2 linked regions of the Saccharomyces cerevisiae S288C genome follow. The protein of the gene in region 1 interacts with the protein of each later gene in a biochemical or structural test. Each region holds a gene or a part of one and is shown on either strand. Other genes may lie near its edges.

Region 1 (3,623 bases):
GGATAATAATGTATTGCTAAACACCCTCAAGAAAGAAAATAATCATAACGAAATCATGGGTATACCTATGCAAATATACCAGGATGGGAAGGGGGTGCAATTTTACCACACGAGATATCAGAACGTATTTGACGAACGGGCGAGCAAGTATGGCAACTACACGGTGAATAATGATTACCCACAGCTTCCAGATACGATAAAGGAACATATCGACCAGCTTACCTTTAGCAATGTCGGAGAGGATGGTGGAGATGTTGGAAACTATTCTGAAGAAGACGATGATGGTGACGAAGAAAAGGAACTTGAAGATGTTTTTCGAAGTAACCGTGGGTTGGAATTTGTACGGATTAATAACTATTTTACTACCCACGATTTACAAAGTTTCAAAAGTTTTAGAAATTTCAATAGCAAGTACTGGATTTTTTATTCTAATCAAGCAGAGGACAAAAAATTACTGCTGTATGACTTTAACGGCCAACATTTGATTTTTATTAAGCAGCAATTTTACGGGCAGTTGAATTTACTGCTATCGGACGCAATAATATGTATGGACTGCAATTTTGGTTATAATTCAAACACCATTCAAATTTTAGTTGGATTTCAGAATGGAAAGTTGTTAAAGCTAAACTGCGACTTGAACGGAAACGTAAACAATCACTTGCTTTTGAAGGATCCTTCAACTTCCTCTCATCAAAGCCACCTATCTATATTAAATGTCTGGGCAGGTTTGTTGCCACATTTCGTTGTTTCTTTTAGTTTGAAAGATGGGCTGCTAATAACTTCTTTAGATCACCAACAAAGCAATGGAAGTTTTCAAAGTTTCCATACCAACATTGATTTGCCTGTAGATCTACGCACGACCACAAATGTCAAGTCCGTTTTAAATTTCCCTCAGTTTACTTTATACAAAGGAAATGATATGATTTTCCACTGCAAGAATCTATTAGGATCGGATGCTTCCACGCTAAACAAGGAAATAAACTTTATGCTTAAAATAGACGAAGACGTTCAAAAGATCGACTATCTTCTTAAAACGAATCACATTTTACTCGAAACCAACATGAGATATCTGTCCATTCCAACAAGAGACCCCATAGAGAATTCAAATTCTTCTCCACCCGTCTCAGACAGCGAGGTTTATCCAATATTTTACAAGACACAAGAACTTCATGTCCATGCTTCAGGAACAGGACGTCAGATAGCAAACAATGGGAAGTATATTTTTATAACCGAGCAACATCTCTACGGAACAGCGTTATCGGTATACAAGTACTCTATATCTTTCAAACGGTGGCTGTTCGTGGGCTACTCAGACATTAGGGCCAAATACGGTATAAGGAGTGTCAAAGATCTCTTTGTTGGTAACTGTCCCTCTGTAAATAGCCCAGTGCTGACAATTCTTACTGATGACAATAACATTCAAACAATTCTTCTTAAATAAAGGTTAAGGAAATGTAAATAAAAAAAATAACAGTGACATTAATTTGTATATATCTCAACTTCTTCACTTTAACCTGTCTGAGCTGTTTGGTTTTGAACTGGAAGCACGTTTCTCATTTTATTGAACGATACCAGAGCCATTCATTATTCGATTGACGGTAAGCGGTATTGTGCGAAAAGCAAAGGGAAAAAATAGAAAGAACAAAAAAAAGAAAGAAAAAAGCACCGTAAAAAAAAAAATCGTTTCGTGGGCCGAGATCGGTAAAGTGGCTTTCTTTTAGTCAGAATTGATTTTCTTTTGATTAAGGCAAAAACTGTGCAAATTAAACTGATGGACCTATACATAATAGTGAACACGACTCATTCAAAAAATTTGTTGTAGTGACCAGAAACTCTGGCGCAAATTAATCAAGAGAAAGCGACCCCCAAGAAATGAAAGCAAAGTCGATGAAGAGCATAATATCTGTGCCAATATCAGTGTCTAAAACAGGGAAAATGAAGTTAACAGCATCTCCCGATAATCTAGCATCTATGATGTCTAAAGACCAAAATAAACTTATTCATTTAGACCCAGTTCCGTCTTTTGAGGACAGGCACGAGATTAAACCGTGGCTACAGAAAATATTCTATCCTCAAGGAATAGATATAGTCATCGAAAGATCAGATAGTAGCAAAGTTACTTTTAAGTGTAGGTCAGTACGATCGAAAGTAGGGTTGAACCCTAAATCCAAAGGTTCCTCTTCAAGATCCCATGCATGTCCATTTAGAATTAGAGCAGCCTACTCTGTGCGGTTACAGAAGTGGAACGTGGTTGTTATGAATAACATACATTCACATGAGCTGAGATTTGATTTGATTACTAAAACGGATGACTATAAAAAGTTTAAGGAAAATCTTCGTCAGAAGAACGACGAAAAAGCCATCAAAACATTTGATGAATTAGAATATAAAGCAAGTCTAAACTTACCACTCGTCACACCAATTATTTCTTGTGACTGTGGGTTAACCAAGGAAATTGAAGCTTTCAATAACATTTTTCTCCCACTATCAAACCCCCCTTTGACGTCTAAAAAAAATTTGCTCAAAACAAATAAAAACTCCGTTTCTAAAATAAAATCCAGACAGATGGATAATTCGAAACCTAGGCCAAGGTTGAAAACGAAGTTGGATGCGGATCTACATGATACCGGATTTTTAGACAATTTCAAAACGCGGAATTCCTGTGTAAAGATAGAGAAAGAAGATTCTTTAACGAACTTAAACGAAATTGATTTTACGAACATGTTTTGCAACGACAATTTCATCCAAAATTACAACCAAGGCCTGATGGAACTTTTGACAGAACCTACACCAGGTCCTTCGTCCTCTTCTTGTATACTTCCTTCAACACCAACGAGGCCCTTGTCACAAAGCAAAATGGATATAGCCCTGTCAGAATCAACAACATCTTCACCAAATTTTATGGAAACAGACGCTCCTTATGGAGATGAGATCATTAAAGTTTCCAAAGATACCAAAAGCAACGCACCAACTGCTGATACAGATATTGCTACGAACTTAGGCAAAGAGAGAAACGAAAATTTTGGCATGTTAAACTACAACTACGAAGCGTTGCTTCATTTCAACGATGAGCATTTTAATGAATTAAATTCTATTGACCCAGCCTTAATATCAAAATATTAATTATTTAGTTTTCAACTCATTAAAACGGTATCACGTTTAAATATGTGACAAGATCTGATGGACATGAATAATGGTGATATCAGCACCATCGAGGGATTTTGGACCTTAGACTTTTTAAAGCTACGGAGGACTTAAAGCATGTCGATACAAATAAGATATATCATGGCTTCATGCGCTCAAAAGTTTTATTCTTCAAGTTTGTTGATTATAATATGGTTCACGTGCGCTTCATCTTTTCATAGGTAATGCACCGCAACATTCAATTATCTAAAAAACTTTCAGGCGTGCCGGTCCCCTAATTTTTGCACTGAGATCATGAGATCAGTAAGTAAAAGCTCATATAGGAAATAATCATATAGAAAAAAGCAGAGGAATGATATTCGAACATTTTCTATACATCACCCCTCCTATTTTTAGATGAATCTCTAAGATCTAAATGCCCTCAACTTAAATATGATATTGAATTAAAATGAATTGTAGTATAGAAGATATTTAGGGCA
Region 2 (3,016 bases), on another chromosome or scaffold:
GCAACGACGACAATGCCAAACCAAGGAGAAGAAAGATCAAATGCAAAAAGACCCGCACACCATCGAACCTACAATCACAAGGAGAACAGGCTGTTGATGATAGTACTGCTATTGAAACAGTTACGTCCACACCGGTCCAAACACCGATACCCGAGCTTGAAGAACAATCTCCCCCATATTTGAAAACAACAGTATCGATAAGGGATAAATACGTTATACCAGAAAAAATATCGCTAAATTTGGACTCCAAGAAAGATACATCTAAAAAGAAACCGTTTTACTTCATAGGTTTGAACTCGCAAGAACCTTCAAATAACTGGAAATGGGGCATGGAGGATAGCCCCCCACCATATCATTAAATTAAGTTACATATCTAAGTACATAACTACACAAATACATACTCTCCGATGTAAATAACGTAAGAAAGCAAAATCGTCTATGCCAAAAAGATTCAATGCCGTCTCCTTTCGAAACTTAATAATAGAACAATATCATCCTTTTCATACCACAATCTTAGACCATTCCTCCTCAGTGTAGCACTTGCAGCTAAAGGCATGAATCTCCTGCAGCTCTTCTTTCACAGCCTTGTTCACTGCACGACTCCTCATTAGTTTGCTTTTACCTTGAAAGAAGTCGCTGACCACCACAATATCAAACGACTGACCACAACCGTACGAAAGATCCGTCACAATGATATGGTAAACTTGCGGTATGGCTGATTCTATCCTCTCGCGGAGTCCCTGTTCAGTAACGGGCATCTTATAGTGTCGTTGGCGCTTTGTTTCTCTCCACTGAGTTGTTAGGAAATGTGATTTTGCAAATTCGTCATTTATTTTCACCTTTTCAATTCTTTCACCTGTCATATATATGTATATATATAACACCGAAAAACTTATTCCAATACACAGTCGGAAGGAAACAGAACAAGAGTCCACCGAAACGCAATGAGCAGAGCTATTACTAGAGCACAATTGGACAAACTTGTGCGTAGCATTACCAAGTTCTACCCTCAAAAGTACGCAGACAAGAGCTGGGACAATACGGGTCTTCTCATCGATTGTTCCACTGCACAAGTCACCACTGCCGATGCAAACGCTAAAACAAAGGTCCTTTTGACTGTAGACCTCACGAAGTCAGTTGCTCAAGAAGCTGTGGATGCTAACTGCAACGTAATTGTTGCTTACCATCCTTTTATTTTCCCAAGCTGGAACAGATTAAGCCCACATACAAACCCACAACACGAGACAGCTATAAAGCTAATCCAGTACGGAATATCCGTATACTGCCCTCACACTGCCGTAGATGCCGCTCGTGGCGGTGTAAATGACTGGTTGGTTAGGGGTTTGAACAACGGAGAGAACGTCGCAAAGTCTTATGCCTTGGAAACTGTAAGTGGCGAAACTGACGACTTGATTGGCTACGGTAGATTCGTAGAATTCAATAAAGACATCTCTTTGGAGCAAATTGTCAAAAATGTCAAGCGTGTTTTACGGGTTCCCTATGTACAAGTAGCATCTCTTGCTGCTCCATCCGCATGGAATCAACTCAAAATCAAAAAAGTCGCTGTCTGTGCCGGGAGCGGTTCTGGCGTGTTTAAGCAACTAAAAGAGGACGTAGACCTTTACTATACGGGAGAAATGTCACATCATGAAGTACTGAAGTGGAAAGAAATGGGCAAGACCGTTATTGTTTGCAACCACTCAAATACTGAGCGTGGATTCCTTCAAGACGTTATGAAGGGCTTGTTGCAAGATGAGGGCCACGAAGTAGTCGTAAGCAAAATGGATTGCGATCCTTTGACTGTTGCATAGCTGCTAGTAATTATATGGCTATATAGGATATCACAAATACCATACGTACTACAGTTTTATCATCCGGCTGTTCGTGTAAAATGATGTTGTTGTATCGGATAGAGAAATACGGATAGAAAAGGTAAAAGTCTTCAAATAACAAGGACAATAACATACTCTGTATTGAAGACGAAGTACTCAGCAAAGCGTAACGTAATTACACTTAGCACACAAATATACTCACACAAATATTACAAGGCATGTCGACGGATACCATGTATTTCAACAGCTCCAGGCTGTTGCCATCGGCTGGCAGGAACAAGACAAATAATCTAATCAAACAAAAAACTAGAAATAATCGTGCGAGGGGAAATGCTGCTAAGAACGCCAATAATAACAACTATATCACAGATATACCACCTCCTCAAACTCTTCCTAACGGTCAGAAACCTAACTTCGGCCATTCTTCCAACAAGAAACCATCATTTAATCAAAAGAAGCACTCTCCACCTTCTTCCCCTTCCTCTACAACTACTTTAGGTAAAAAAAACAGACAGAATAATAAAGAAACGCCACGACAGAACAACAAAGATGATACTCGTTTACTGAGTCAGAACCTAAAGAATCTGCTTCTGAACCAGAAACAATCCCCGCATGGCTCTCAAGGGATAATACCAATGGGTTGTAATGGCAGTGCCAAAAAACTCAGTCACTCTTATGCAGGCTCCACTTTCGCCACTAATGGTCCAAGGGAGGCTAAAAACTTGCCCAAACCAAGTTTTTTATAATCACCCTTTAGAGAGACATTTTTGATTTTTTTTTTTTTTTTTTTTTTTTTTTTTTTAGAATAATGCATATTTTTATTTGATATATACCTATGTACCAATTATACGAATGCTTATGTCTGTTTTGGATCTGGTCATCCAAAGCAATTTCTCAGATGACAATTTTTTTTTCCTATTTTCTGTTACAGTTCATCATTATGCTGAAGAAAAATGAAACATGGCGGTGAATAATAAATAACACATTCGTACAACAAATCTTGTGGTAGAAAACCTAAAAAAAACCAATACGATAGAAAATGGATGAAGTCTTACCATTGTTTCGCGATTCTCATATTCCACAGATTAAAGATTATCAATTGGAGTTACAGAACGATTTGACTAAAACCAATGAGGCCTTCCAAAAGAATTTGCTAAAGAACTATAACAAGATCTTAAGCTTGA

Evidence for each region.
Region 2: the proteins of AFT2 (region 1) and BOL2 form a complex in vitro, tested with the Saccharomyces cerevisiae proteins (2 studies listed by BioGRID).

Annotation. Positions count from the first base shown.
Region 1 is NC_001148.4:167,588-171,210, reverse strand, and holds AFT2 (Aft2p), read left to right. Parts: upstream 1-1,872; coding exon 1,873-3,123; downstream 3,124-3,623. Other genes in the region: YIG1 (Yig1p), read left to right, coding at 56-1,441. UniProt on the Saccharomyces cerevisiae protein: Transcription factor required for iron homeostasis and resistance to oxidative stress. With AFT1, activates the gene expression in response to low-iron conditions, also called iron regulon.
Region 2 is NC_001139.9:80,221-83,236, reverse strand, and holds BOL2 (Bol2p), read right to left. Parts: upstream 864-3,016; coding exon 501-863; downstream 1-500. Other genes in the region: ERMES complex subunit MDM34, read left to right, coding at 1-359; NIF3 (uncharacterized protein), read left to right, coding at 945-1,811; EDC1 (Edc1p), read left to right, coding at 2,051-2,578; Golgi transport complex subunit COG1, read left to right, coding at 2,872-3,016. UniProt on the Saccharomyces cerevisiae protein: Involved in the regulation of the iron regulon in response to decreased mitochondrial iron-sulfur cluster synthesis. May be involved in mitochondrial organization and biogenesis.